4 linked regions of the Rhinolophus ferrumequinum genome follow. The protein of the gene in region 3 interacts with the protein of the main gene of each other region in a pairwise test. Links are inferred from orthologs where the notes say so. Each region holds a gene or a part of one and is shown on either strand. Other genes may lie near its edges.

Evidence for each region.
Region 1: the proteins of ADAMTSL4 (region 3) and OTX1 interact in binary tests that used the Homo sapiens proteins (3 or more experiments, as listed by UniProt). The two-hybrid records come from large-scale screens. The link is inferred for Rhinolophus ferrumequinum from reciprocal best matches to the Homo sapiens genes ADAMTSL4 and OTX1.
Region 2: the proteins of ADAMTSL4 (region 3) and CREB5 interact in binary tests that used the Homo sapiens proteins (3 or more experiments, as listed by UniProt). The two-hybrid records come from large-scale screens. The link is inferred for Rhinolophus ferrumequinum from reciprocal best matches to the Homo sapiens genes ADAMTSL4 and CREB5.
Region 4: the proteins of ADAMTSL4 (region 3) and TOP3B interact in binary tests that used the Homo sapiens proteins (3 or more experiments, as listed by UniProt). The two-hybrid records come from large-scale screens. The link is inferred for Rhinolophus ferrumequinum from reciprocal best matches to the Homo sapiens genes ADAMTSL4 and TOP3B.

Annotation. Positions count from the first base shown.
Region 1 is NC_046296.1:26,506,531-26,514,737, forward strand, and holds the start of OTX1 (homeobox protein OTX1), read right to left. Parts: upstream 3,243-8,207; 5' UTR 3,145-3,242; intron 1,641-3,144; exon of another isoform or gene 1,574-1,640; intron 1,274-1,573; exon of another isoform or gene 1,172-1,273; intron 822-1,171; 5' UTR 757-821; intron 1-756. Other genes in the region: EHBP1 (EH domain-binding protein 1), read right to left, coding at 6,529-6,619, 6,838-6,952. UniProt on the Homo sapiens protein: Probably plays a role in the development of the brain and the sense organs. Can bind to the BCD target sequence (BTS): 5'-TCTAATCCC-3'.
Region 2 is NC_046303.1:13,463,925-13,471,202, forward strand, and holds the start of CREB5 (cyclic AMP-responsive element-binding protein 5), read right to left. Parts: upstream 3,206-7,278; 5' UTR 3,148-3,205; intron 1-3,147. UniProt on the Homo sapiens protein: Binds to the cAMP response element and activates transcription.
Region 3 is NC_046305.1:50,813,503-50,821,048, forward strand, and holds the start of ADAMTSL4 (ADAMTS-like protein 4), read left to right. Parts: upstream 1-4,128; 5' UTR 4,129-4,233; intron 4,234-6,559; exon of another isoform or gene 6,560-6,582; 5' UTR 6,583-6,696; coding exon 6,697-6,716; intron 6,717-6,941; coding exon 6,942-6,999; intron 7,000-7,309; coding exon 7,310-7,546. UniProt on the Homo sapiens protein: Positive regulation of apoptosis. May facilitate FBN1 microfibril biogenesis.
Region 4 is NC_046308.1:22,783,465-22,791,845, forward strand, and holds the start of TOP3B (DNA topoisomerase 3-beta-1), read left to right. Parts: upstream 1-5,281; 5' UTR 5,282-5,350; intron 5,351-5,635; 5' UTR 5,636-5,714; intron 5,715-8,381. UniProt on the Homo sapiens protein: Releases the supercoiling and torsional tension of DNA introduced during the DNA replication and transcription by transiently cleaving and rejoining one strand of the DNA duplex.

The sequences.
Region 1 (8,207 bases), on a different chromosome or scaffold from region 3:
CTGCCGGGTCCTCGTTGCGTACAATGGGGTCCCAGCGGGGAATGAAAGGTGACCCAAACAGATGCCGAAAGGGTCCCGAGGATTTAGGAGGCCTGTGTTCAGCAGGTCCCGTGCGCTCTCTGACTACCCTACCAGCTGAAACTGCGACCCCAGGACCGGATCCGGACTGGAGAAGTAGGCCTCAGGGTCGCTCGCGCTGACCTGGGCTGGAAGGTCAAAGCCTCGCTTCCCTACTTGTCCCGAACCTGAGGCGCTACCCTCAGGGGTCGGGAAGTGGTGCTGAGGGAGTGGGACTGGGGCCCCAGGGGACCTGTCTCTTCACCCCTCTTAGCGGGAAGTCAACGCAGGCCTGGGACCTGGGCTAAGGAGTTCAGGGAGAGACGTGAGAGCTAAAGAAGTCTCCCGCCCCTATCCTTCGGGACGCACGGCCTGGGCTGGGAGAATCCAGCCTGCAGAGAAGGGGACGAAAAGGAAACAGCCGGGGCTCTTGGGCCTCGGCGACTCTGCTAGGCTGCAGTGTGAGTTTCAAAGACTTTCTTTAAACTTAACACTTCAGCTCGGTTACTTCGGAGGAGGCGGGGGCGCGGGGCCGCAGCGGGGCCCTGGGGTCCTCCGCGCACCAGTAGGGGAGCCAGGCCGCTCTCCAGCCCCGCCCACGTGCCGGGACCCGGGAAGTGGGGACCCGTCTGAGGAGAGGAACGCAAGAGCACCCGGCGCGTACCAGAGTCCCGAGCGGCCCGGCGGCTTTCTCCTTACCTCCCTCAGCTCTGGGGCTGCTCACCATCTACCTCGCGCCCTCACGAACCCGCCGGGCAGTCAACCTGCAAAACAGAACCGCAGGAATTATCCGCCGGGCTGGCGTTGTCTAGGACCGCCGATTTCTTTCTTTTCCCAACTTCCCTCCTCCCGTCTCTTCCTTTCCACTGGCTTTATGCGTGTCCCTCCAAGTTTCACTTTATTGCACAGACACTTTGCAAAACCCCACACGCTCCCGAGACACTACCTTGCCCAGGATCGTGCCAAGGGGCCTCAAGGGGGAGGGTGGAGTGAGAGGGGCAGAGTTGGGAGGCAGCTCGCGGTTGCCGCTGCACTCCCGGTAAAACGTGAGGCGGTGGGGGCTGGGGAAGTCCTGCAGAGGCACTTTACAAACTAAATAAATCAAGCGATTTACCTTGTCGGTGTGGCTTGTCTTGCCCGGTTGTTTAGGTGATTGGAAATGTAGCCTGATGAAGATTGATCACCTTTCTACTGCCCTCCCTGGGTATGTGAACGCGAGGTGAGTGCGTAACGGGGCTAGGCTGCCAATCCTGGGCCCCGCGCGGGCTGAGTGACAGGGAGCCGGGCAATGGCAGCCCGAGTCGGGGGTTACCTCCGCGCGCCCCCGCCCTCCCCCGCCCCCTGCACCCCGCCCTCGCTGCACGCCCGCCCCGCCCCGGTCGCGCGCTAACTCCCGGGCTTGGCTGGCAAACTACGCGCACAGCCAGGCGAGGAAGACTTGCACAGACCCGGAGCCCCAGCCGCGGAGGGGGACGCCGGTCCCCAGGCCGCCCTGGAGCCCCCGCCCTTCTCTCACCCTTTCAGCGCCCCGGAGGGAGTGGCAGAGAGGAGGCGAGGTGCTGGAGAACCGGTTCTCTAGCTCTCCCGAGCGCCACCCGACTCAGCGGCCGGGTTGTGGGCGCGAGGACTCAGGCGGGCTGGAGGAGAATGGGCCCCCAGCCCCCGGCCCCTCGCGCGGCGCTGTGGGCCCCAGCGTCTTCTTCCATTGCGCCGCCACCTGCAGACGGACGCCGCGGGCAGCTCGTGCCGGCACAGGCTACTCTGCCGAGCGCGGGCGCAGCGCCGGGTGCGCAGAACCCACCTCGGCGCCCCAGGACTCCCGCTCCCGTGAACAGCACCCGCAGGAGAGGCCCCGCCATTTACCTGCTCCTCGGCGTTTCCTGAAGTTCCCAAACCCCACGAAGGGTGTTTGCAAATCTTAAACGCTTCTTCTGAAATGTCGTGTCCCCTCCCAGTGTTCCCTTCCCCTTCCACACACACTCTACTTCTGAATCGAAAATTTTTGATAGGAAACTTTTTCTTTCACACTCCGTCTCTGTCTCTTTCCCAGTATTCTTCTACCAGGGACAATCGGGTGGAAAAGGTGGTCACAGATCCCTGCCTTCATTTTCTTTCCCACATGCCGCAGAAGGAGCCTCCCTGAAGCGATTTTCCCGTATTGTTCGTACTGGCAAAGCCCATTTCTCAGCCAAACAAACTTCTCAAACACGTCCACCTGGTGGACTTTTCAAAGCTCAAAAAACGTCTTTTCGCCCCAATCCTGAGCAAGGCAATTCTTTCAAATGGCACCTCCTCCTGAATATTAGGCACGACTTTACTGCCTTTCGAGGAATTCATACCCCTTTTTCCTAATCCCCCTTCCCTCCACCCCTACAGGCGGAGTGAGAAGTTTGGACAGGAGTAGGTGTGAGAGAGAGTCAGGGAGCCGCCGGGCGCATTGAGGGGGTCGGGCACCGAGAGAGGACCGGGCGCTGCGCAAGGAGCAGAAAGAAGGGGGAGCCCGCTGAGTGGAAAGGGGCCGCGGCCGCCGCTCATCAAAGTGCTTCCCCCTCCCCCAAGCGACACTTTCCTTTGGAGTCCGAATAAAATACGGTAACAGAATATGATGGAGGGCACACTGTTTCCTTAACTGCTTCTCAAAGGACCTGGGAGATCTTCTTAGGACCTTTAATAAGGCTTTGGTCGGTTCTTTTGTTGATCTCTCAAAATCAACTCCTTCTAATTGAAGTTGGAGCTGAAAGCGAGCTAATGTTCAAAGAAAGTGGCCGCCAGACCAACGAAATTACATTTTTTTTTTTTGGAAGATGAGGGAACATCTAATCAAAGGGGCCAAGGAGGAGGGGTCGGAGTGGGGGAGTACGAAGGAGAAAAGGAGGTTTTACAAGATCCTTCTCTGGTTCACAAAAGTCAGCGACACGGGCGCTTCTCTCTAGAACAAAGACACCGCAGCCCATTCACAAAAGAGAAAGACTGAGAGAGAGAGAAAACAATAAAAGAAACGAGAGAAAAGGAAAAACATGAGAAAGAAAAGCTTTAACTGGAAAAGAAACTGCGCAGAGCGCAGCGCTGACCCGGGCGGGGACACACCTTAGGCTTGCGCAGGCCCCGGCAGGGAGTAGCTCGCGAGGCCCGCGGCTCGGAGCCCTCGGAGACGTTGCAGAGGTTTACAGAAAGAAACGAAATACACCCTCTCCTTCAGTTCTGGGAAAAGGCGCGGGCTGGAGCACAATAGTTTTGGGGGAAGCGAATGCGGGCGTCCTGGGGTGCGCTTTGGCAGCGACTGTGTCCCTAGCAATGCGCTGCTCCAGCCCAGGCCTGCGCGCTGTGTGTGTGGCTTAGTCCTCCAGGGCCTGGGTGCGTGCCTTGTCCTAGACCCGCCACCTCTTGCTCTCATGCTTTCTCGGCGCCCGGTTATGCCTGCAGCTGCAGCGCGGGGCGGAGGTCCGGCTGGGCGAGGTAGGGCGGTTGTGCGCGTTGGAATGTGCTCAGGCGGTCCCGAGGGCCCGCCACGCGGGAGCCCTGCGCTCTGGGTTCCAGATGCTGCACGGTCTCGGGGAAGTTGGGAGGTATCAAGTAGCACGGTCTCCCCCACCCCCCCCACGCCGCCAATGAGAGTACTTATCTAATCCCAAATTGCAGGCGAGTTTTCTTAATGCTCAACCCATAAAACCCCGGGATTAAGAGAAGAAAAAGAGAGGGGAGAGGGAGGAGAATAGAGAGAGACTGAGATGAAAGTTTCTTGTATGCGTCGTACAGGACTGAGGCGGCCGTCACTAGGCACATGTCCAGGTGGGAGACACTTGGCCAGAAGCCTCGACCTCTCCAGCAACGGCCGTAGCGCGGGGAGGGGAAGTGGGGGCATCCCCGAGAGAAGGCAAGTCGACTCAGCCCGTGGCCCGCAGGGCCGGGGAGGGAGCGTGGGAGTTGGGCTCCGGGACCCGGATCCAGCATCCAGGTGACCTCGAGGCCAGGCCATACTCTGGAGGACACTTGGTACAAGGGGAGGGGTTTGGCTCCGGGGACGTGGGATGCTGGCCAGAGGAGGAAGTTCTGCACCGGCCCGCCGGGCAGTGCCCAAGCCAGCCGGTTGCCAACGCTCCTCCTCCTCGGCGACCCCCGCGCGCACAGCTTCTTTTCCTGCAGCGCGGGCTTTCGGGTTCCCGGCCTCTCCGTATGCTGGGCTCGCGCCTGTGCTCAAGAAGCAGCCCCTGGGCACAACGCGAGGCAATCGGGACACGGCGCCCTCGCCACGGGCCTGACCCAGCTAGTCCTGGGGGCCGCTCTCCGCCGCCGCTGCGGGGCGTGCGGGCGCCACGGCGCCAGGTCTTCGGGAGCAGACCAAATGGGACCCCAGCGAGGCTCCCGCCTGGGGCAGGAGGGGCAGCAAATCTGGGGCTTGGCAGGTCGGGAGCGGCTTGGGGGAGTCGCCTCTCTGTGAGGCTCCTCGGGAGGGAAGGTTCCCCGAATCCAGCGTAAATGGGGTGGGTGATGCTGGCCTCCCAAACGTCAGGCTGCTCTGGGCTGGCGATTTCCGTCTGCCGGCTTGCCAGGGCTTAGAGCGTGCGTCTGAGAGCTTCCCCCAGAGAGCTGCCGCTGGCTCGGCTCTTCTGCTCGAATAAAGAGGGCAAATACCCGATTTCACTGAGTTCCGATAACTTTTCAATAACTTCTTAAAATTTCTGTCGTGAAGAAATTCTACGGTAGCAAGTGTTTATCATTTTGAAAGACTGGCAATTGTAAGTGGCTGCATATTTTCGAACGAATTTATGTGTATGTATAAATATTTGTGTGTATGTACACACATATATGCATATACCTATATATATGTATATATACATACATATATATGATCTAGGCAAAAGTATATTTATTTGCGAGTGAACTGTTTTCTCTCTCCAGACTTGTTGAATGAGCTTTCTTTGTTTCGGACACCTCTGTAGAGGAGTAATGGAAACTACCGTAAAAATCGCCAGTTTCTTTCTGTTGCCTAGAACTTCTTAAAAGTTCCCTTTTCCTCACCTCATACACACCTGCAGCACTTACCCCCTCCCCCCCACCCCCCAGCAATAAACCTTTCTTTCACTTTAGCATCTACAGATTTGCAGGCTATTAGAAGTTGTAGTTCTTCCTCATATGGCTGTAAAATTATAACAATTGAAAATAATAATGTGGAGAATTCATCAAGATATTAACATTTTTTTCAGTGCTGTGGAATCACAAATTTCCTCAAATCTTTAACAGAAATGACCGTTTATAAAAGATAATAGTTTACACTGCTTAAGAAAATATGACTAACTGCTTTTCAATTCGAATTCCTGTGTCAACAGGGCCCCTCCGGGATGGTGTAAACTTATTCAGCTCCAAATACAGCCCAGTATCCTGCCCAGTGCTCAAGTGGACCATTTTTTTCCCCCACATGAAAAGTCCTACAGAAACACAAACTTCTCAAACCAGTGTCAAGTTTTCATTGCAAGGAAGTAGCAGAGTGTTTAAGGTAAGAAAGTTTCTGCTTTTATTGAAAATTTATATATGACTTCAGCATTGTAATAAATAAACAGGTAACCATTTTCACAAAAAAATGACAGTGCTACGCTAGAGAAGAAAATATTAACTGGGGGATTTACTCATAGTGGCAAGACAAACTTTTATCAATACAGAATAAATATTAACAGCATTCTTGAGCCAATGTTGAAATCCAACAAAATGTAGGAACCAAGCTAGATGTAATAAATAATTATCTAGAGAAAAAGATGGCGCATTCTCAGAAGATAAGACTGTCTTTGTAAACTGATGCATGTCAATTAATACCATCTTCACAGCTCACCTTCAAATCACAGGACTTGTCTCAGGCTATGTTAAAGGGCCATCATCCTCTGAGGAAAACAGAGGAGAGGAACTCTATTATCCTTACAGTGAAATGCAAAACAACTGCAGAAAATCCCACTGGTAAATAGAACACAGTTTAATAAGTAGAATGAATATGATCTAACTATAAAATTTAGGTAACAGAGTCAGTGTTACATATGGCAGGACTGGAAAAAAAAATCATTCATGACATTTTTCTTATTCCCTTCTTACCCCCCTCCCACCGTCATTATGCTATTAACAACAACAAAAAATGTTTTCAATTTCTTCCTATCAAAAAGTGAGGGAAAATACTGAGGGAAGGGTTTTCTTTTCTTTCTTTCTTTGAACAGTTTCTTGAACACTCGTAATACCAATCATTCACAAGGTGTCTGTGCAAATCTATCTCACATGATTTCAAGGAAATGATTAACTCAACAAAAAAACCCTTAAACAAAGCTATTTTGGAGTTCTGTCTATTATCTGGAAAGGAGGGAGGAAAAGGGGTGGTGGTAAAGAAGCATAATCCAGCCAAACAAAATGTTAAAAGTTTTAAATCAACGAGTCTGACATTTTCTGGTCTGGGGACCCAAGACTAAAATGTTGGGAAAGATTCTGGTCCGGCTACTATTGAAGAACACATTTCTCTTCTTTCTTGGCCATCTTGCCTTTGTTTTGCTCCAGAGTTCGCTCCAAATGCTCATCTTCTTCTTCGGCCCTGGAAGTCAAATAGGAAACAAAATTATTTTTCTACGTGGAGGGCAAAGCCAGCATTCCCCGCTTGCCCTGCATTCCGAGCCCCAGCGGGAATGGGCACAGCGGGGCCAGTGGGAGGCTGTCCCGGCCCATTGGAGACCTCTGGACTGAAGTTTCCGCAAACTTCTCGGCCCCTCAGCAGGCAGCAGAGCCTGGACCCCGATCCCAGTGCCCACTTACTGCTTCTCCTGCGCGTCCAGGTCCCTGACGAGCGCGTCGCGCTTGTTCACCAGGGCCACCAGCTCATCCAGCAGGAGTTGCTCCCGTCGCTTCTGGGCCTCAGTCTTCTGCCAGTCTGCAAAGGACCGAAGGCTCGTTACTCACCCGCGGGACACTCGCAGCCCCCCCCCCCCCCACACACACATCCTCCCTTCCCGCCTTTTCCAGTTTCCTTGTACTCTGCAAACCATATTACAGAGGCACTAGCTAGTGTTCTGTGGGGTGTTTGGCCATCGTGGTAAGGTTTTCACCCCTAAAACGCTGCTTTCTAAATATTTTCCGCAGATGGAGATGGCTACGGCTGAGTTGGACCCTGCAAAAGAGACCAGGTGTGAACCATTGGCTAGCCGGAGGTGCGCACCTGATTTCCGCCCTAGTAGGGGAGGGAGAGCTGGAGGCCTAGAAGAGGTCGGCCCAAGGCTTGGTGGTGGTGGATGTGGGTAAATGAGGAGGCGGGAAGCAGAGATGGGCGATAAAATCATTCTGAAAGGCTAGAGAATCTGCCTGAGAACCTATCCTCCTCCCCCACCCCCAAGCTACCCTGTACAGCCCCATTCTTCGCTAATTTCCTCTATGCTCTATTTTAGCAGTTGGATGTATCTCACACTGGGCGCCATATGCTTCACAATAACTTTAAAAGTAGTGAATCGGCTAATTAGCATTTTCTTTGAAGTAAAAAATAAATTTGCTCTGCAATATTACACTGCAGCTCTCGATCGCATCACAGCCAGTTTTCTTTTGGAGAGGTTTGCTGGGTGGTTTCAAATCAAAGCACTTTTGCAAATGAAAAATTACATACTTCTTTTTGAAATTCCATGTTAAAGGTTGGAAAATCTGATGGACAGTTCTCTTTCCGTGGTTAGGAGTTCTTTTGGACGGTTTTAGACCCCAATTAATAATATTTCCTAATCTTTGCTGGCCTGATAATTTCCTTAAGATGAGCAGCAGTTTGGTTTAATAAAAACAGGACCTAATCGAACATTTAAAGCATTTCTGAAACCAAAGCCAACTGCTCTCTGGCCAGACTGTAAGGGCTTGTAGCTGTCAATCAACCCCCAGTCTACCCCGCCTCCCTCATTAGGAAGGTAAACAATGAAAAGAAGAAGTAGATGATGAGGCAGATAGGAGAACAAATGAGGACCTAGAGGGAAACAGGACACCAGCTTAAAAAAAAGGCATGGCCACTGACTCATGCAGCCCCCGTCCTCCAGCAAATGCACTTTCCAAAAAAGAGAGTGGAGTGCAATCCTTTCGGGTTTCTCCCTTCTCTCTCCATTGCCCTGGGCAATCATGTTAAAACTCACATGGCTGGTGCTTATTCAGATAAACCT
Region 2 (7,278 bases), on a different chromosome or scaffold from region 3:
CTACACAGAATCAACTTTGTTGTAAGTGTTGAAGAACACCTCGCAAGCAGCTACTTGCTCGCTTTGACTCCTGCACAGCACAACACAGAACACCAAATAACAGTGCGCCATCTAGTTAGCAAGTTGCATTCTCCATTCTAGAAGGGGGGACACCTTCAAACCCTGGCAGTTAAGGACTTGTCAGGGTTCAGCTGCTCTAAAGGTCCAATTGTTTATTTAAATGAAAAAAAAAATATCGCTACTGAGATAATCCACATCTCGTGGATATGGGAAAATTTAGGTTATAATGGCACTACAAACTTTTACATCTAACTTTGATTTACAAGATAAAAGCAAGTTTTAAATTAAAAGGGCTTTCTGTTAATAGAGCTTATTATTCTGAAGACGGGAATGATTTTCTTCGAAAGTTGTCCCTGGGTACATGCCTATTATCTTTGCTTTTCCCCTTCCACTAATGAGCATTTATCTAAAGAGCCTGTTAATCCTCTGATGTGTGCTTCTGGTCAGAGGTAACAGTTTGAATAAAACCACTAATCACTGATCACTAAATCACTGATCATTAATCACACTCTCCAGTGTCCGTGACCCGGGCCATTTTTTCCTTTAGGTCTATGCATCATAAACAAGAAGTTTAACATTTTAGATGCACATGTTTGTGCGGGTGGGGGGGCAGTACTATTTCATCTCTAGATGTGAATAAATAATAAATACTGCCTCGAACTTGGGGAAGGATTGTCAATTAGATCCCAGACAGGAGTTTCACAAATGCTTACTCTGCAGCATGGCTTTCACTTTGAAGAAAGTAGGTCTGACTATAACAAAACATGTGTTCTTCAAGAAATCCCCACATCCTCAGAATATAAATTTTCCTTTATTTAGTTTTCAGCCACTCCAAATCAGAGAGCACCCAAGTCCTCTGCCCACTCCATCCAAAACCCCACTAGTAATTTTTTTTTATTTCTGCTGTGCACACTCCTCCCGCTCCAAGAGTTTTTACTTTTATCCCTTAAACATGGTCACACACTGGTGTTTTTATTTCCACTGCCAAATATGAAGTTCTGATTCAATTCATATAACGTGTGTATTTAACGTCCTCTTTAAATATAGAAACTTAAGGTTGAAGGAAAGAAAGTAACACACGCAGCAATTCATTGTATGGTATTTTGGGTTTAACGACTCACATTCCCTCACTTTGGAAATGAAACGTTTAATCTTGATCCTTTCAGCTAAATTTGATTTAGTCAGCATCCTCACTTCTTCCCTGGTCTGCTAAGCGGTTGGAGAAAGGCGCTACGTAAAATTAAGTGCTATGTTTGCAGTGGGTGTGTTGTTTTCCTAAATCACCACAGGGACACAGTATCATCATAACGTCTCTAAGCATTTCCTGAGATGTCTTTCTATCAGAGCTGAGTGTTTTCGCCCTGGAGAAGAGGGGTCGCTGGTGCCTTTCGTAAATAATAGAAAAGGGCAGATTGTGCGTGTGCTGATCAGGTACCGTGCTCCCCTCAGACACCAGAAGCTCTTACCCACACTCCAGGGACAGTGATAGCCCCGGGGAAAACAGTAAAAGGCGGAGGCGGGGCCAGAGTGATAACGGTGTGGGAGGGAGAGGGGGTGACGAAGGAGGGGTCCCGGAGGAGGGAGCAATACAGATGCCCACGGAACTGGCGCTTGTACAAGTATGTTGGGGCTGGGGGTGGGAAGCAGAGTTGCTTTGTCAGCATTTCTAAGCCCCCGAACCCTTGAGTATCTGAAGCTGTTAATCACTTACTGGCCTGCAGAATGACGTAATGGACCTGTATCCAGCCTTTATTCCTTGACACATGTCAGAGAGGGAGGGAAAAATAAAAATCAAACACACTCTGCGGACACTGACAACAAAATATACAAGCAGCCCACTCCGGTTCCTGGCCTTGAACAAACATCAAGTGGGGGCGGCACCCGTTCAGGGAAAGTTAGGAAGGAGGGTGGACAACGTCTGGGGCTTTATCTACCAGATAACACACACCCTCGCCCCCGCCCGGAAATAAATCTATGGCAAAGAAGAAGCTGGGTGCAGCTGCCAGGAGAAAACATCTCCTTCGTTCCTTCGCGTGTCTTGCCCCTCTAAGAACTTCGTGAAAAGTTTAAGCGGTTCCGTGGAGAAACTGTCGTAGAGGAGGGTTCCTTCGCCGAGTCCTGGGAACTGCCACCGCGCCGCCGCGGCAGAAGCCCGAGCTGTCACTTGGGGCAGCGGCGGGGAAGAGGTAACGATGCCAGCGAGCACCGGACGGAGGCAGGAGGCGGCTGAAGAGTGAACGCGAGCAGAGCCTCACCACTCTCAAGCCTTCCGTGCCTGGAGCGAAAGCCAAGTGCCTCCAAGGGCGATGTCCCCTCCCCGGGTGCGCGCGCCCACCAGCTGCGGCGGGCAGCCCTGCGGGAGAGGTGGCAGCAGCAGACTCGGCACCCGGGAGGGAGCGAGCCCCCCCGCACGCCCTCCTGCCCACCCGCTAGGTGACCACGCGTCCTCGCCGCGCCTGCTGGAAGTTTGCAAACTTTCTTCGGGGGTTCCGCCGCATCACCGGGAAGTTGGGGACGCGGGGGGAGGTTCCTGGCTCGCCGTCTCCGCTGCCACCGCCGGTGCCACCGCTTGACCGCACTTCTGGAGGGTTCCGCACCTTGCCAGGTCTCTGGAGGCAAACACACACCCCCGATTCATAACTGTTCCCCGCGTCAGGGAAACACACGCGCGCTCCCACACACGCACGCACGCCGGGTGGACACAGCGCTCACTCCACGTTAGCATCCCTTCAGTCGCACGGCGCAGCGGCCACCGAGACGCGCTCCGGGAAAGACACGGCGTGGGGTCTCTGGGGTGGCCTCAGGACACAGCAGAATTCCACAGTTCACCATTATTTGGGGCCGGACTTCCTTCTGGTCCGCCAAAGTGTTTACAAACACAGATCACCCTCCAAAAAAAAATGCATCGCATCTTCCCTACTCCTTGCCCTGTGACCTGCCCACTGGACCGAGTAACCTCGCGGCTGCTGCCGAGAACCAACCCCTGCAAACAAGTACGCTCCCGAGATGGCTCCCTCGGCAAGTGCAACAAAAGTGGCTAAATGCAAAAGCCCCAGAAGTGGCCGAGCCGTATTTTTAGGAACTTACCAAACAAGTGTGGAGAAGGCAAGAGCGGAGCCCGGGTGAAGGGACCACGTTGGACTGAGCAAAGATTACAATACATTCTATTTAGAGTGCATTACATCACCCCCCCGGTGACGTCACGTGGGATTCCTGAACTTCTAAATCATTGCGGTCCGCGGGGGAGAGAGGGAGGGGCGGGGCCGGCGCGCCAAGGGGGCGGGCCCCGCCCCAGCCCCGCCCCACCAGCGGAACCTGGTGCACCCACCCCGGAGCGGCGGCGGCGACGACCGCGCAAGCAACAGCTTGCAGAGCCCAGCGCCGTGTGACACGGCTCCCTGACATTAGTGGTGTGAGTCAGCTTGGAAACAATCCTCAGGGTTTCAGACAGGACCACGGAGGAGGCACAGACACGGGTTCTCCTGCGAGGAGGGCCTGGTAGCATTTGAAAGGTGTGGGGAGGGGTGTTAGGGGAGAGGTGGGAAGGGGGTCCTGAAGGGTGCGGGAAGAGACTTTCTACCAACAGAAATGAAGGACGCTACCCTCCTCCCCCAACAGCAGATGTCCAGCTCCTTTTTGCCTGCGACAACAGTCGTGACCTCATTACAGTGTTCCCTGCACTGCATCCTGGTTTCTCAGAGCGCGCACACAGCACTCCTTTTAACCGCCCCCACCCCACCTCACCTGCAGGGAATAACTTTATTGTGCACCCTCACATGAAATACACAAACCCCACCCTTTCCAAGACCCCTGCTTCGTGCTTCTGAGAAGCTGGAGGGAGAGTTGCTCCTGGAGGCGAAAGGTGAATCACTGCTGGAGCCAAGTGATGAGCCTGATTTAGACTCAGCGTCAGAGCCGGAAGGGCCCTTGGCGATTCCCTCCAGAGCCTTGTCTGTAACTTGCCCAAGCTCACAGGCTGGCAAGTAGCAGAGCCAGAGCCAGAATTCAGGATCCCGGCGCCTGGTCTGCAGTATCTTCCTGACAACTTCCTGAGAGAAGGAGCCTGGCATTTTCGGCGTTGGCCAGTCACCATCACCATCTTCAGCTTAATTTCCATTCAGATGTTCTCCCTATGAGGCGGACTCAAAGGGAAGGCATAGGCGAGATTCCAGCCGATTTTATGCGACCGCTGTCATCCTTGCAGCAGCTCACACTTTACAAAGCACTCACACCCACGTGAACTCTCTTGATTCTCACCACCCAACACAAGAAGTAGGGCAGGTGTTATAATTATCCCCATTTTACAGGTGAAGGAAGACAGACTCCAGAATGTGAGGGGGCTGGCCTGAAGTCACTTGAGCAATTGGTGGCAGTGGCATCACCCCAACCCCTGTTTTTAAAGCCCAGATCCCAACTAGGCTTCTTTCTAGAACCAGGAGTGAGCATTCGCTTCTCCTGGGTTACTGGTGGTCACAACCTCTGCTAAGGATGTGTTGGCTGAGAGTAAGAGGTTTGCTTAGAAACAGTTTAGCCCCCATTAACAAACAATAATTATTCCTGACATTTATGTAGCAGATGACATTTATATAGCACCCCTCATCCCAATGCCTCATAACCATGACTGTGCGGTTTGCCAGAGAATCATGACTGGACTGGCTTGAAACTGTAATGCTCTGCCTGGATTGTCACATACTTCTGAGCTGGTTTGACATACTGAATGGAAGAGCTTTGCATTTCCTTTCTGTTCTGAAGTGTTCAAACAACTCCCTCCCCTTCAGTGTTCCTTGAGACCATAGGGACTGACGACTTGTCATTTCTTACAGCCCTATTCAGGACGCATCACTGAGTTTTCTGTTTGTTCTTTTCCACATGTAGCCCTGAAGGAACCTGCAAAAGAAGGGCTCCAGTCCTAACTTGAATCTTAACCAATAAAACTTTAAATATGACAGCTCAATTACCTGGGTTTATGGAAGGAAGCAATAGCCCTACTCAGGATAGCCTCCTTGCCCACATCCCCATTCGATTGCCAGAAAAGCCTTTTCCACCTGAAGGAGGTATCTACCTCTTTCTCCCTCAAAGAAAAAGTATGAGCCAGAGGAGGAACAAATGAAGCAGAAAGGGGATACAGCTCAACACATCAGAGCTCAGTCTGAGAGCTTATCTTCTTTTCCAGCTGACAGGTGGGACCAAAAGAATAGAATAGAGAATTGAATAAGCAATGCCGAGGTGATAACCAAAATATTTAAAAGCCTGTAAGTAGTTAATCGACATGTAAATTTAAAACATTGAATCTCCAGTATTCTCTAAACAGAAGCATATACATATGAGGTTTTCTTTTTTAAAGATTTTATTGGGGAAGGGGAACAGGACTTTATTGGGGAACAATGTGTACTTCCAGGACTTTTTTCCAAAGTCAAGTTGTTGTCCTTTCAATCTTAGTTGTGGAGGGTGCCGTTCAGCTTCAAGTTGTTGTCCTTTCAGTCTTAGTTGTGGAGGGCGCAGCTCAGCTCCAGGTCCAGTTGCCGTTTCTAGTTGCAGGGGGCACAGCCGAACCGGCAGCCTTCGGAGTTAGGAGCATGGAGCTCTAACCGCCTGAGCCACCGGGCCGGCCCCTACATATGAGTTTTAATGCAAGTAGTTTATCAGTTTCTAATGCTATCCAGATCATTTGTTGAGCTTTAAAAATTGCGGACCTTTTGTTTGGCATGCCGTCACTAAGTAAACAATGCCCCTTTCTGAGCCATGATTGACATAGTAATACACATGGAACTTTTCCAATGACGTCCCCAATTACTCGATAATCATTAGGTTACTTGGAGTCCCCATAGGTAGATAATTTCTCTTAACATCAGTAGTATTGTTTAAGGTTGCTGACTCCTTTCTCAGCTTCTACTGAACTGACAGCAATTTCACTCAGAATGTTTCTAGCCATTGTATTATAGACAGTTTTTTATATATTTCAGATCTCTGTTACCAACTAAGTCACACACACACACACACACTTTTTTTTAATAATGTAACTTGAGAAGAAAGGTAGTGTTTCCCAGTGTGGACTCTAATGGCAGGCTGCCTGAATTCGAATTGTGGCTATGGGTCTCAGTCTCCTCATCTATGTAATGGGGATGATGGTAACTCAAATGAGTAAAGAACTGTGCTTGGCACAGGATAAATATGTAAGTACCTGCCTGCATTTTTATTAACGAGAGAAATGTGTCTAATGCCACGATAGGAAGGCATTCAGTGATTTTTAGCAAATTTGACCAAATAAATGAAAACAGACACTGTTTCCCCAAACTCTCCCGGCCCCACACTAACCCCTGCGTGCATCATCTGTGCCAAGCAGGTTTTCATCTGTCAAGCCATGCCAACACAGCCCTGAGGTTTGTGGACTTGAACTCCTGCATGCCTCGTGCTCTCACCCAGGCTCTTCCAGGATCTCTCAGAGCCAAAGTCCCATGGAAGCTGCAGTCCTCAGAAGCAGCCATGCTAGAGAACCTCTAGGGATACCACAGCTGGTGGTGGCCATAACCTGAGGCATTTGACTACTGAGGTACCAGCACCACCTCCAGAAATGCCATTTCACCCACTAGGATTCTACCCATTAAGGCCTAGGGGGCCTGTAAAGACAGGGACACTTACACTAGAATCAAGGTAAACTGTTGGGGTATCACCCACCCAGGATCCTCCCCACACCCTTCCACAGGGTAGGGTCACAAGTAGGGCACAAGCCCACCCGTATACAAAGACACTGGTTGGACCTATGAGGGGCTGACTGACACCTACACTGACCAATGAGAATAGATGACACCGCATGCTAGACCAGGGGTTAACCCTTTAGTGGCTAGATCATGGGGCAGTGCCAGGGAGAGGCCTGGGCAGCCGGGCCAATGGATAAAACAGAGGTAAGAGCAATGGGTATTTGCTAACCGCATTGGAAGAATTTTAACATTTTAACACATTTACAGCCTTACCAGTGGTTACCTAGTGAATATCAAGCCTGAGTAGAACCATCCCAAAGTGCCCTCAGATGAGGAGAAATCCTTTATCTCTTGCTTTGGATTTAGTAATTTCTCCAACATTCAACAAAGGGTGGGAGGTCTGCCCCATGCTGGGGAGAAAAAAAAGAAAAGGTCTTCTTCCATGTTCCTAGGCTCCCACAGAAGTTCTCAAACTCAGCGGCATCAGATGCACTTGGGCAACTTGTTAAAGGCAATTTCT
Region 3 (7,546 bases):
CCTTATCGTAGTTGTCAAAGTACTGACGATTTTGCAGTCTTTTTTTAAAAACTAAATTTTATTGGGGAACATTGACGGACATTGTATTTCTCCAGGGTCCATCAGCTTCAAGTAGTTGTCCTTCAATCTAGTTGTGGAGGGCACAACTCAGCTCCAAGTCCCGTCGCCGTTTTCAATCTTATTCCCAGCAAGCTTGTTGTTAAGAGCTTGCGCTCTAACCGGCAGCCCCTCCAGCAGCTCATTGGCAGCTCATTGTCTTCCATCTAATTGTGGAGGGCGCAGCTCACTGGCCCATGTGGGAATTGAACCAGCAACCTTGTTGTTCAGAATTCACGCTCTAACCAACTGAGCCATCCGGCCGCCCCCGATTTTGCAGTCTTAATGGCTGACAGGGTTATGCCAGATCAATTCCTTCAATTCCATCAACATTGAGCACTTCCTGTTTTCAGAATGCCGTTGAGCAGTCACATGGCTCAGGGTGGCACAGAAGCAAAGTCTGTCACCAAGGCCACTGAGACCTACCTGAGAGGCACTGGTAGATTGAAATGTGGAGATCAAATCAAGAAGAATTCTGGCTTTGGGTGTTTCTGACCAAATTTAACATCTCCAGAGTAGTGACTAGGAAACCAGAACGTCCCATCCATGTCTCGGTCCTCATCTTACCAGATGGGTCACATCCTGTTTCTTCATCGTTTCATCACCCTAGAGCCAGCTCAGCCATGGGGCGAGACAACAACCAGAAAGTGCTGGAACGTGGCCAGAGCTGAGGCAGTGCTCACCATTTCTCATTCACGGGCTCATCCCCCAAGCATTTATTAAATGCCTACTATGTGCAGGACAAGGTGGTGGATACAAAGGAAAGCATGGCCAGGTGGTCCCCCACTCCCCACCCCAGGTTGCTCATAGAGAATAGGTCACAACAGCCTGTTCTCATAACCGTTGTGGGGTGAGCTAACTGGGCCAAAGCAAAGCCAAATGGTTAGAAGAATGGCATCTTCTTCTAACCAAGAAAACAGTGTAAAATAACGTGACAGGACACGGAATCAACGGCTGCTGTGGAGCGACTGGGAATAGAGTGGCTCTTCTGGAACAAAGGAGTTGAGCAAACCGTGATTCCGAGAGGCAGAAAGGCAAACAGCAGGCTTTCTGAAAATGGTTGCTATGACCACAAACCAAAAGACAGATAGTTTCACATTAGTTTCTGGCCCCACCTGTACCCACTGGTATTAGTGTCCGTATGATCTTGGAACAGGGACAATATCTCATAGGAAACATTAGTTTAAAATATTATTTAATTCGATGTAAATAAAACTTCCTTAGTTTACTACCAGGAAAAAAAATTATTAACTGAACTCAGCTAAATTTCTCACAAATTTCACTTACACACAACATATAGAGATAATAGCTTCTAATTGTGAGATTTGGGCAAATTACTGAATTGCTCTTTGTGTCTTTGTTTCCGAATCTGTCATGATGAGGACTACATGAAATATATATACGTGCGAACTTTATTATTATTATTATTATTATTATTATTATTATTATTAGTGTCTATAGATTTTATCTTGCACTTCACAAGTTGTGAAATTCTTGTCTTTATATAATAGTTTCAGCCCCCCAAGTCATGGGAGGTGACAGCTGTAGTAAATCTCGCGAGCTCTTTGGTCTGCAGCCACTTCTTAATGGAAAGGACTATTTCTGACCTTCAGTTCACAGCAGTTACAAATGTCAAAGGCAGACCGTTTCCATCCTCCCGGCTCCCTTCCCACTCTGCTGTCTTCAGGGCCATCTTCCGGCAACTTGCCTCCTTGTAGAATGCCGCTGGGGTGTGACTGCAGGGCACTGAAAGGTCCCTGACCTAAAATATCTTCTGTGCCCCTGTGGGCTGGGCATTTCGTCACCTGCGTTGTACTCTGAGGTCTGAGCAAAGGGGCTTCCCGCTCCAAATCCATGACTATAAATATGCCTCTTGGTTAGGACTGTGTGTCACCCACAGTCCCTAGATAAACCACCCCTCCTGGGAGGGGGGCATTCACCTCTTTGAAAACACAGGACCCAGCAAGACTGAGAGTGTTCTAAGGAGAGGCAAAACTTGAGGCCTACAGACAAACCTGACCTTGGTGTCTAAAAGTTTTGTTGTTGTTGTCGTGACTTTTCAATATCTTAAAAACAGTATTTTATCACTTCTCTTGAAAAACAAAATTAGAAAAATAAAAGCACTAGTAACATTGTCCTGCATTGCCACAAAATCACAGGGATCTCGGGTGTCCCCAGCCAGTTTACCCACCTGCCTATGCACCTCTGAGCTTGATTGGAGAAGCCTGGAGAGCAAGCCTGGGCACTGGGACTCATTTGTCCGTTCTATAACATTCCAATTCAAATATTTCTTTTAATCCTACAAATCCACAAAAAAACAAAACACAAATGCAATCTATAAAAAGGGATTTACTGAGGAAACAAAATATGCACGTTAAACTTCAAATAAGGATCCAGTTCTTGCATTTTAAAAGGCTTTTATATTTTCACTTCCCTCATCTCTTAGAGATAACATTTGCTAATGTTGAGTCCAGTATTTATGTGCCCATGGCTGTCTGTCCCCAGCTAGATCTAGCTCCTCGAGGCCAGAGATTATCATCTAACTGTGGCCTCACCACCAAGTACCAAAGGTGCTCACTGTTAGTTGGGTGGGAGCATCTGAAACCCTGTTATTTTATGGGGATGCAGAACAACGTTGATTAGAACTTCTGTTTTTATGTCTTTATTTTTTAAAAATTTTATTGGGGAACAGTGTGTTTCTCCAGGGCCCATCAGCTCCTACTCGTCCTTCAATCTAGTTGTGGAGGGCGCAGCTCACTGGCCCATGTGGGAATCGAACCAGCAACCATGTTCAGAGCTCCTGCTCTAACCAACTGAGCCATCCGGCCACCCCTATGTCTTTAATTTTTAAAGAGAAGTTATACAATATCCTGGTTTTAAAATATTGACAAGTCACTGAACAAAACAAAAGCTTTGGAATACTGAGTAGATCCGAAAATACAGGACTGTGGCTCGTGAGTAAATGGCAGATAAAAATTTAAAAATAGTGACCATTTATTAGCTACTCTATGCCAGCCATTGTATATATATATATTATTTATTTTTAAACGTAACTAATAACACTTATGGTTACAAATTCAAACAACACATAAACATATAGTGTAAAGTGCGAAAGCCCGTTTTTTCCCTCCCCAACCCCACACCTCTCCTCAGCTGTGGCCACATAGTCTGAGTTTGGGGTGCATTCTTCCGAATATGAATGGATATAGACACATTTCCAAGCTTACTATATATGTATGTGTGTGTGTGTGTGTGTGTGTATATATATATATATATATATATATATATATATATATATATGTATATCTCAGATTAGCCCCATTTTACAGATGAGGAAACTGCAGCACAGAAGGGCCCCCAGAGTTGGCAGGTAAGTGCTCGAGCTGAGATTCAAATCCAGATCGTGACTGCTGAGTCAGCGCATCTGTCCCACTGCGCCCCGTGTATAACATTTTATGGGTGAAGAAACCGAGGCTCATCTAGAGGTCCCTGAGCCATCAGCAGCGCACGATGCACGACTCAAATTGGGAGAGACAGGGATGCCCGGGCTAGCGCGAGAGGCTGCGTGAAGGAGAGCGCCTTGACCCACGCGGGTCTGGGGTCGCGCGGGACCATGCCAGCCGGGTACGCAGCCCCCACCTGGAGCCTGGACTCGCCCGCGTCGCTCCGGGACAGGCGCCACCAAACTTTTTGGCCCGGCGTTCGCATCACCCACTCGGAGCCGATCCGGAGGCCGGGGTCCTGGGGTCCCGAACTCCAGTGGGCCCAGCACACGGGCCCAAGGGCAGTGCCCGGCAGACGGCTGCCGCCGAACCGGCTGGGACCGTCCCGGTTTCGCCCCCTCGAGCCATCGGTAGGCGCCCCGCACGCAGGGGTGACCAAGGCCCGCAGCCCCGGGTGGGTGGCCCTGGCGAGGAGGGTTTGGGGGTGGCCCGCCCCCACCCGGGGGCCGCGGAGGGGCGCTGGCTGGGCGCGTGGCGGGCGGGGCGGGGGCGGGGCGGGGGCGGAGCCGCGGCCGGAGGCGGCAGTGTCCCGAGCCGGGCTCAGGGGCCGCAGTGGCCGCCGCGGAGTCAGGCTGACTCGAGAGAGCGCCCGGGCGCAGAGGGGTTAACGGGCCGCCGGGGCCGCGCAGAGCAGGTACAGACCCTCCCTGGGACCCCCGGCCCCGGCGCCCTCTCTCCCGGGTCCCGTTAGGCCACCCGCCCCGCGCACCCGCGCCGCCCCCGCTCCTTGCGCCCCAGGTCGCGCCATAGCCACGACCCCGGCCCCAGCTCTTACAGCCTCGGAAGATCTTCCAGTCCCTGGGGTCAAATTCCTGGGGAGGGGGCTCTGATCCCGTGGAACTCTGTCCCTGTCATCTGGGATGAGAATCAGCCAAAATTCCTACTAAGTCACATAGTAAAGTTGGAAAACATACCTAGGACCTCCCCGCACGCGCCGGCGCCTCCTGCCCTCCCCTGGAGGATATGTGCCTCCACCCCCGTCGCTCCTAGAGTTGGGGGACAGGGGCGCTGAGAGGGCAACAGGTGGGTGCCGGTGATCCAGCTCAGCCTGATGAGCAGAAGGAAAGACACCTGTTGGGATGGTCCTCCGGGACCCAGGAGTGGAGGGCATAGTGAGGACCAAGGAGTCCTACCCAAGGCAGGGACTCTCCGCAGCAGCCAGCCAGAAACGTGTCGTCTAGCCCTTGCCCCAGCAGAGCCTCCTATTTCCCAGAGGTGGGTCCCTCTGGGGGTGAAGGGATTAGCCCTGCCCATGTCTCTCCTCCTTGATCTTCACTGGCCAGTGTGGAGGTGTGGCCAGGAGGAGCCCAGGTTTGTCCTGACCAGTGTCCAGCCTGGCACTGGTGACCACTTCTGACCTCCCCTTTCCTCACCCTGGGCAGTGAGAGACACCAGATAAGAGACATGAAAAGGGGTGAGAAGCACAAAATGTGTCCTGTTTCCACACTGGAGAGGGTGTCGGCCCCCTGCCTAGCTGTGCAGGGGGGCTGGGGTAGGACTTTTCCAGAGAGAGAGCCAGGCCTGGCCCAGGCCCCAGGAGCTCACGTCACCCCCACCCCCCACCCCTCACTTCTCCAGGGAACTGCCAAAGCCAAGCCCAGCTCAGGACAGGACTATGTGTACTGGGTAGACCCATGGAGAGACAGCAAGATACAGACCTGGGGAAGCAGCAAGGGCGTGGCGAGGGGACCCCGCAGCAGAGAAAGGGCCAGCAGTGATCCTCACCCCCTTCAACTTCAAGTGATTGAGCCAGGCAGAGAGTGGAAGGTTTGGGTGGAACTTTGGCCCTTCTCTGGAGCCCCTCCACCGCCCCCATCAGGGCGGGGTTGCTGACCTCAGTGGTCAGCCCAGCCAGGGGAAGGCGAAGCCATCAGCAACCCCCTCCCCAACCGCAAGCAGCTGGGGTGACCCTGTGGGTCAGGTTCAACCACTGTCCTCCTGCCCCGAAATTCCCAAGTCCTGGGGTCTCAGGGAGGGGAGTGGGGCTGAGTGTTGCTATCCCCACGCACATTCCTGCGCTTCCCTCTGTCATTTTCCGGCCCCTGGGCTGGCCCACCTCGGCACTGGCTCCCTGGACTCCTTTCCCGGGTGCCTTTCAGATCCAACAGAAACATTTTTTTTTTCCTGGAAAGCAGAACTAATGGATGAAAGTGGGGGTGGGAAGGGCTGGTATTGAGCAGGAGGGGCTGGAGGGTAAGGGGAAGCAGTGGGCAAATCGGGCTGTGAGACCAGGGGAGGGTTCCAAGTGCCACTTCTCTGACTGATCCACGCTAGACTTCAGGATGGACTTCTGGACTCTTCAGAATGCTAGGCCTGTGGTTGGGGAGCGATGGCAGCTCTAGCTGCATCTCTCCTTCCCAGGTACCCCCAGTCCATCATAGTGGCACCTGAAATAAGCCCTCGTTGAACCAAGGCTGGATGCTGGCTCCTAAAGGGAGGTTAAATCGCAGTGGGCAAATCACCTGCTTCTTTAGAGATTAAGCATCAGCCCACTTAGTTTATCCCTTGGCTAAAAAGTGATGGAAGCACTTTTGTGATGCCTGAGTGTTCCAGAGGAGCTTAGCTCAGGGAAGAAAAGGCTGAGAGGCAGCTAGGCAACAGAAAGCCCAAGGGGCTTCATGTCAGCTCCTTGAGGGGGCGAGGGGGCGTCTGGCATGTCCTCCCTGGAGCCTCCCTCTTCCTCCTCGCAGGTCCTCTGGGAGGGCAGGGCGGGAGTGGGGGCCAGATGAAAACCATCCTAAGAAAGATGCCCGTGCCTGAGCTGGCCTACCTGGATAAGGGAGAAGCTGAGAAGTCCCTACAGGGCCAAGGGGAGGAGACTAAGCTTGAGACTCCCACCCTTTCGCCTCAGCAGCTGGACAAGGGCCGCGTCCCTCTCACGCTCACCCTTAGGATCCTAAGGGGTGGGCCAGGCTTCCCCCACCCCACCCTCCTCATTCCGAGATGTCTTTCCTTCTGAGGAGTCACCCCTCCCAACCCCCAGCTTTCTGGAGACCAGGGGTAATCACCAGAGCACACGCCTACACGTCCAGATGCTGGAGTAGTGTGTTTACTTCTGGTCCCCTCCTCCCTTGCCCGGAGCAGTCAAGGAGAAGCGATGGAGAAGTTGGTGGACAGGTAAGAGGTGGGTTGCCGGAGTGAACGGATGGCTCTGACCCTGGAAGCGAGGGAAAGGAGATCACTGGGAGGGGCAGGGGTGGGAGGAAGTGATGAGTAACTTCTGCTTCCTGAGAAGTTGGCATCGGGATGTGGGGAGCCTGCGGGGGGTGAGGGGCCATGTGGCAACACCAGCTCTGGCTCCTGGCCGATGGCTGACGTCCGCATTTGGCCCTTCATTTGTAGGCCCCGGTTGTGTCTGATGCTGCTTCTGTCCCTCCCTCGGCTCTGCCTGGATCAGGAGGTGAGCCAGGGACCAGAGGCGGTGACCCTTTCACCTCCCCTGACCTCCCATCCTACTTGTCCAGGCCATGCCTCCATTTTCCACAGCCGCTGATGAGCCCTGGCCCCTCTCTCTCACACTTGGCCGTCCCCAGCCTCCCCTTCTCCCCAACCCCCTAACTCCTTGCCCAATAACATCAAGTCCAACCTCTGCTACTGCCTGTGACCTTGAGCTGGTGACAACCTCCCTGAGCCTTGAGCATTAGACTACAGTCTCTGTATGGCTTCCTCTAAAATCATTCTAATTTTGTCTGACCTTTTTGTCTACATAGGTGTTGTCTGGACACGCTCTTCAGACACCCCCTGAGGAGGGACAGGGCCCTGAGGGCATCTGGGGTCCTTGGGACCAGTGGGCCTCTTGCTCCCAGCCCTGTGGGGTGGGGGTGCAGCGCAGGACCCGGACATGTCAGCTGCCTCGAGCTCAGCTCCCCCAGGGCCTACCCCTCCCACCCCGGCCCCCAAGACATCCAGAAACCCTGCTTCCCCGGAGTCAGGGCCCCAGACCCCAG
Region 4 (8,381 bases), on a different chromosome or scaffold from region 3:
GAAGATGTCATTGTCCCCAAATTCATCTACAACAGATTCAATGCAATATCTATCCAAGTCCCAGTTGGCTTCTTTGCAGAGATTGACAAGTTGATCTTAAAATTCACATTGAAATCCAGAAACTCAGAATAACCAAAACAATTTTGAAAAAGAAGAACAATGATAGAAGACTCATTTCCTGTTTTCAAAGTTTACTACAAAGCTAGAGTAATCAAGACAGTATGGTGCTGGCATAAGGATAGACATATTTAGATCAGTGGATTGAATTAAGAGCAAAAAAATAAATCCTCACATTTATGATCAGTTGATTTTAAACCAGGTTGTCAGGACAATTCAATGGGAGAAATAATACTATTAAAATACATTTCTGGAATGAACCTAACCTGATCGTGACACATTGTCTTTTTAATACCCTGTTGGATTTGGTTTGCTAAAGTTTAGTTTTGGACTTTGTAGATACTTTCATTAGGTGATACACCTAATCTGTATTAGTCACCCACCATGATGGAGGGAAGGGATAAGTAGGGGTTTGGGCAAATGACTCACCTCTGCAGAGAGGACAGGTGGCTGCATTCCCATACATGTGACCTGAGAAGGCTGTGGGGACTGCAGGAGGTATCTAGTACAAGCACAGAGACAGAATTATGAATCTTGAGCTATGGGAGGCAAGCCAGGGCTGGGTAAATGTCTTGGAAAGCCTCACTCACTCGACATCACGTAAGCTATTTGTGCCTTTTTGGGTTCTGCAACTGTTTGCTTTTATTTTATTTTTCTTCTGTTTCTGATAAGATAATTTCTTCTCCTTGTTTGCACCTTTGGGCATGGGGGTAATATGTTCAGGGACTTGCCCCAGGACAAACCCCAAGCCCCTTCCCGGGGATGTTTCTCCTCTTCCTTCATTTCTCAGCAGAGCCATATCAGGGGTTCTGGATCAGCGGACAACCCTCAGCGCCTGCTCCTTCTTCAGAAGGAGCCTCTGTCTTGGGTCCTGCAGGCCCCCAGATCTTAGCAGAGACCCCAACCCTCAATTCCCTCCATCCTGGGAGGAGGGTGTCCACTCTGCACAGTAGGGCTCCACTTCCTACCCTAGGCAGGAATCCACGCTCACCCACCCTCCTGGGACAACCCTACTGAGCCCCTCTTTTCCCAGATAACACCCCCACCCCCAGGCCTGGGCATTGCCTCCACCACTGCCCTACCCCCTACCCGTACCATCCTCAAAGAAAAACACCCAGTGACAACCTCAGACCGAAGTGGTGAGTTGGATTGGACATAGGAAAAGATGGAGAAAAACTCAGGCCAGGGCGGGGAAGGACTTAAAGGGATAATCCACATGCATTTATACCCATGAATTTGACTTAAAACAAATAGACAAATTCCTTGAAAAATACAGTGTCCCAAAATGACAGAATACATAGAAAACCTAAAACGTCCTATATCTGGTAAAGAAACAGAATTTCTCAGTTTTAATTTTCCCACAGAGAAAACCCCGTGTCTCAATGGCTTCCCCCGGTTAAGTTTTCGAAGCATTTAAAGACTAATACTAACCCTCTTGAGCCAACCTCACCCCCCAGCTAGAGATGGGCAGTCTCTAGCCTCTCCTATTGCCCCAGTGAAGAGGGAAGTTTCTCTTAGTGCAGACCAGCTCCCCTCCTCGGCGCGGTGCTGATCCTCCCTGCACTCTGCCTGCAAGATGGTGCCGTGAAGGGTGGCCTGGGCAGGAGCTGGAAGACAGCTTTGGCTCCTGGGAGCATTGAAGACCCTAGGAGCCAGGAGCCAAGTCCTAGTTGCAACACCGTTCGTATCTCTCAGGAATATACCCACAGCGCCCTCTGCTGCTTTTGAGAAGATATTACAAACGCTGCCCACTGAGTTTCCAGCCATCATTCAGCCTGAATTCACTGAATCCACACTAGAGAGAGAGAGAGAGAGAGAGAGAGAGAGAGAGAGAGAGAGAGAGAGAGAGAGGCAAGCACAGGGCAAATTCAATCCTTAAGACTGAGAGAGCAACTAGCATGCTTTCTTGGGTGTTGGAAATGTTCCTTGTCTTGATCTGAGTGTGGTAATGTGGGTATTCGCATATGAATGGAATTGTCAAATGTACATTTGTGATAACTGTACTTTACTGTTTATAAGTTTTACATCAACTTTCTCTCTCTCTCTCTCTTCTTTTTTTTTTTTTGTCCATGGGATTGTGCATGAGAAATGAAGAAAAGATTGACATTTTTGGCTGTTTTCTGACCACCTGAGGGAGTCTTAGCTTAGAATCACTGTTGTATATGATTTTGATTTAAGAAAAACAGCTGCTAAGAAACTAGGAAAAGAATGATAATTTTTTGGTTGTAAATAAATAAAGTCTGAGTTCCATTAAGGAGCCTGCAGCCTAAAGAACTATCTTTCCTTATTTCTTGGGAGTATAGGCAAAATGGATATAATGGGCAAAGTAATGAATAGCTGTAGAAGCCAGAAGAGTATGAGGTAGAACTTGAAGCTTATTTGTTTCAAGCACCATTTATTGAAAAGACTTTCCTTTCTCATATTGAATTGCCTTGGTGCCTTTGTCAACAATCAATCGACATTGTATATGCCCGTCTTTCAGTGGAAGCTCTATTACATTTCCTTGATCTCTGTCTTTCTCCTTATACAAGTACCATGCTGTTTGATGACTGCATTATAGGAAGAGTTGATTTCAGGTCGTGTCTTTCAACCTTTTTCTTTTCTTTCAAGTATATAAAATAAATAAACAGACAGATAAAACAGATTTGACAAAAATTTACAAATTTAGAAGATAGGCCAGAAAAGAAAAAGAAAAAAAAGTCAACACATATATAATAGGAGATCCTGAAAAGGAAAACCAAAACAAGAAAATAGTACAAATTCAAGTACAAATGTACAGAGTCAAGAAAACTTTCCTGAAATTAGAAAAAAAAATTTTGGAAAGCTATATATTCAGAGGGAAACTATGAACCTGAGAAAATTGATCGCAATGACCAACACCAAGATTTATTCTAGTAAAACTACTAAACTTAAAAGCAAAAGAAATATCTTTGGGCCTCCAGGCCCAAAATAAAAAATCACCTACAAGGGAAAGAAAATCAGATTATCAAATTTTTTGAGAGCAACACTTTATATCAGAAAACATTAGAGTGACATATTTAAAATATTTTCGGGGAAAAAATGTGAGCCAGGGAATTTAGGTCCAGCCAAACTGATTTCCAAGTATAAAAGCCACAGATGAACTGTTATCAATACAGCATAGTCAGCCATGAAGCAAAGATACACAGGGAGCTGATATAAATATAATATGTGAGTAAAAGAAACACAAAATTGCCAGAATTGATTTACAAACCATCTTGGTAATAAGAAAGAGTACAATTTACCCAGAAGAGATATGTGTCTCACTTCCTCTGGGGTCTGGCACTCTAAATTATGCAGGCTGAACTGTGGTGTCATGAATGACAGTAATAACTAGCCTTGTCTCAGCCTGAAACCCAGCAATGGTCAGGAAGGCTGTGTTGCCCGACTTGGAGCCAGAGAACTGAGTCAAGACACCTGAGAACTGACCGTTGTTCTTGTAGATGAGGACTTTAAGGAACTGGCAGATGCTTGTACCAGTTTGGGGCACACTTGATGCTGCTGCTGCTTCAAGTGCAGAATATGGTGATTGTACCTCCCAGAGACTTAACACTGAGGCCGGCTGAGTCAGCACAAACTTGGGCCCTGAAGCCTAGAAAGATAAAGAGACTAAGAAAGCAATGAGAAGTCCTGCAGCCAGTGGTTAAGAACTTGGCTTCTAGAATCAGGCTGCCTAATTTTGGAACCCTGCTCTGCCATTTATATCTATGACATGTCTTCTTATGTGTCAAATAAGGATAATAATAATTATTATTGTTGTAATTAATAATATCTAATTCTTAGTGTTGTAATGAGAATTAAATGTGTTAATAGTAGAAAAGTGCCTAGAACAGAGTAAGCACTGTGTGGGTGTTAACTATTAACAGTGTTATCAAAACCACGGTCCAGCCTATGCGCAATCAGAGAGAAGAGAGACCTGGGAGCTCTCGGGTATCCCATCTACCACAGCCAGGTACCTGTGCAGTAAGTGAGGTGTTCCTATGAATCTAGGTCATTTGTCAACCTAAGGGTCCGTAGGAGGGCCTGACCGACAGCTCCCAGGGAGGTCTGTGTGGAGGGCTCAGCTGCTGGGCTCTTGGGACAGAGAGCATCAGCGGAGCCAGGAACCCTCTTGAGACCCTCAGGCCTCCAGAGATGACCACTCAGCGCCCCCTGCTGGGCCCAGGCTTCAGGTCCTTTCTCCTGCTCTTCAGAACGAACCCCCCGGAGCTGGGTTAAATGAGCGATGGGGTTGCCTTTTTACCAGTTGGTCGAACCGCTCAGATCCAACCTTAGCCCTGGCCGCTATAAGTGGGGGCTGTGTGGAGAACAGACCGTAGGGCAGCAGGGTGGAGGCCAGGGGGGGTAGATGTGGCTTGGATCAATGTGGTGGCAGCCGAGGCAGGGACGACTGATTGGGTCTCAAATACGTTTTGAAGACAGTGATACATAATGAATGAGAGAGGAATCCGGGATGCCTTCAAAGCATTGGGTTTGAGCAATCAGGAAGATGAAGTTGGAGATGGAGAGTCCGCCAAGGAGTGAGTGAGTCAGTTGGTTTGAAATCATAAGTTCTATTTTGAAAGTGAAATCTCACTATGATTCTTATTTTTTGGTATTGCCCAACTTTAGTTTGACCATAGAACTTTTCTTTTTCCAGAGTATTTATCAGGGCTAGTATTCCAATAGAGGCAAGTTGGGAAGAGTGTCTACAGGGCTCAAAGGAAATGTGTGTACGCTTGTAAAAGATATTAAAATATGGTCATAAAAATTATTTAAAACGTCTATATCCCTAATGCTTTATCACAAAAAAATACTTTTATTTTTCCAATTCATCTTACAGATATAATTTACACAGTTCATTCATTCATTCCACAAATGTTTGTAGCATTGAAAGAAGCCTGCTATACACACATCTGTAGTTTTAATTATTTTAATGATTAACTATATATATTTTCATGCTTATCATCCAGTTTTTTCATAATCATTATAATGATCATTGTCAATATTGCCTCCCCGCGGGCAGAATGGGGACTACCTGCAGATTGTGGTTTGCAAAACGACTTGGGGCTGCGCTGCCGGAACGTGCAAGCCACGGAACCCATGGAGGGAGACGTGCGGGTGCCGGAGAGCAGGCAGTCGCAGGGACGCCAGCGGCTGCTGGACCCGGAAGTAGCGGTTGCCTGTGGCCGCTCTGAGAGCCGGAGCCGTAACCGGAACCGCGGCGGAGCTGCGGGTGAGAGGCAGGCGGCGGGTGCCGCGCGCAGGGCTCAGGGATGTGGGAAGGGAGCCCTTTTCTCGGGCATGTGTCCCGAATGCTGGCCGGGCACCGAGGGTCCCGGGACTGGCTCTTTGCGTTCTTGCTACCTCCTCCCTCCTTGTGGTGGTTCAGGGAGGTGGTGATAGGCCAGCGCTTAGCCAGTTGTCTGGAAAGAGCAGATGCTGTAGTTAATACCCTTCTCCATCGAACCTGCTCGCAGTTCTTTGAGATGGGGTCTGTTGTCCGAATCTGTTGTCACAGGTAGGGAAACTGAGGCTCAAGGAGGCCGTGCAGCGGTCGGGCCAGGATTGGGCTCAGGTCGGCGAGGCTCCAGGTCAAGGTAGGTTCCACTCGCAACTGCCTGGGCTCCAGCTCAGGGAGTCTTGAGGGTGCCCGGGCGTTTCTCTGAGTTGTTGATGTAGATGAGGGAGGGTATTTTTGTGAACAAATTAACTAGAATCCAGGGGCGGTAATTTCTCAAAGATGCAAAAAAAAAAAAAAATGGCTTTGTCTTGTCTCCTTACTGCCCAACCTTTGGGAACCAGAAGTCAGGCCAACGTGGACGTGATAGCCATTGAGCCCTGGGGTTCCTAGAGCCTTTGCAAAGAACGGTCATCTGATACTAGTCTGAACTCCAATTTACTCATAGTTTAAAAAATTACGACGCAGGCCTTGTAGGGTTGATGGCGAGATTAAATAGTGTTTATAGCAATAGCATTCCTCATACAGAGGAGGAGCTTAAGAAACGGTTTTCTTTCCCTCTTTTCCTGACTCCATGGGTATTTGATGAAGTTACTAAGGTGGGAAATCCTAGGGCTCTAAATGCTGTTCAGACCACTGCTCGGCCTCCACTCCTAAGCTAAATCCTCTTGTTCATAAGACACTGACGTGAAAAGACTTTATCTACAGTGTGTCCCAGAGGACACATACCATTGTGGTATTGCTGGTGAGAGTTGACAAGGTAGTAACAGACTGATCTGCTGCTCCTTTTCACTTTCAGCCCTCCTAATTACAGTCCCCAATTTGGAGTGTTTGCTATCAACACCCCCTTAGCACTTGCTAATCTCCCTTTCTGAAATAAGAGGACAAACTTCAGTCTCAGAGCTTTGGCAGGCAACAAGATCAAACTTGGTAAACCACATAGGTTACCGGAAAGAAACTTGTTCTGGCCATTGATTACAGGCTTTCAGTGCCTATGAGGCTGTAAAATGTCCCCTTTTTATATATATTTAAACTTTTTTAAAAAGCAAATCTTAAGTGAATAATAATGTTGGTAAGGCACAAGCATTAAGATGGTATATAAATAAGGTTTGCAAACGGTTGCCTTCAGCTTTTGTTCTCATTGACTTCCATTTGAAATTGGAGATGTGCCTTAATGAAAAAAATGGGGACACCCTAAGATTAATCAGAAGATTAAAACAAAACAACAAAAAACATGTACCCAGCTGGAAGAAGGAAACATGAGTTCCCCCCTCAATTCAACCAATTCCCTGGGTTACCTTTGGAAAATGCTTTCTTTGAGTCTTAAATTTGTTTTTCATCCTTGAGATAGTGGTATCATCAACCAAGGCCCTTTCCCCAGGATTCCATGATTCCGTATCCTTAAATGAAATGATATTTTTTCCCTAATAAAACAGAACATTACAAAGTACTCATGCTCAGAACATTACAAAGTACTCATGCAGTACGGAGGTATAAACTGTTGAATTAGAACCTGTGATTCTTGAGAGCCAGACGGCTGAAGAGAGGCACGTATCGTCGGTGAGTTAGCATCTGCACAGCCTGACAGGTGGACAGGTGATCTGAAATTGGGACTAATGCTGATGGGCCTTTGTGTGACTGTCCAGTTGTATCCCTAGCCCTGGATCAATGAGGCCATCCCTTTGAAATTGCTAGGACAAATTGCTTCTCTGTAAAGGGATCTTTAGAGAAGAATCTTAATGATTTACTGAAAAGGTGCTTAGGATCCATAGGTATAAAGGGGAATAGTGGAGATGTAAGATTTCTAGAAACTTGGACACCATGGAAAAAAACATCGAGAAGGAGAAGTATTTACAACACTCTTACAAATTTAAAGTCAGTTTTTAAATTTTAGACATCTAAAAGAGTATTTTTATTCACTTTGCAGATTGAATTACTCATATTTTCAGTCATTCATTCAATCAGTATTTGCTCATGGTCTACTACTTACCATCAGAGTAAATAAAACCCCTATTCTCCTGGAGCTTATTTAAATTCTAAGAAGTGTAAGACAAAACAAACAAGTAAGTAGATGGAGACTGTCAGGTATAGTGGTGATTGCTCCAGGGATGTAAAGCAGGGCCGCTGCTCTATGCGGGGTGCTCACAGAGGCAGTACAGGATGAAGGCTTAGTGCATGGGTTGTAGAACAAACAGGCCCGGGTTTGTATTCAAGTCCTGCCACTTGAGCTCGGGTCTCTCTGACCCCACAGTTCCAAATGTGGGGCAGCACAGTTGTAGCACCCCCAAACGAGGAGACTGGCAGCACTGCCAGTGCCTGGCATGTCGTCACTACACTATAATTGCTGGCTACTCTTGTGACACAGAAGTGAGAAAACCTGAGGAAGTGTTTTAGGATAGAACCTTTTAACAGATCTGGAAGGGATGGAAAAGTCAGACTCCCTCTCAGAGCAATCTCCCTTTGCTGCCAGTTTCCCCCTCTGACCTCTGGCTTCTCTGGGTGGGGAAGGGGCGCCTCTGGGTTGCCTTGAAGCCTCACTTTTGGGTCTCTGACTTTGGTAGAACTGAAACCTCCCCAGGATGGAGAGCAGAGGCCACATAAGGACAGTCTTAGTTGTTCATTCATTCATTCAGCAAGCATTCAGTGCTGCTGGGTGTCACATAATACAACAAAACTAGATGCCATCCATCGGGTGGGGTGATGGGTGGGGAGACACAGCAGTGATGCCAGGCGTGGTTTTCAGGGAGGGGTGGGGGCGTCAGAGCCAGTAGAATCTGGGGGAGAGTGACCTAGGTGGAGGCCTGAG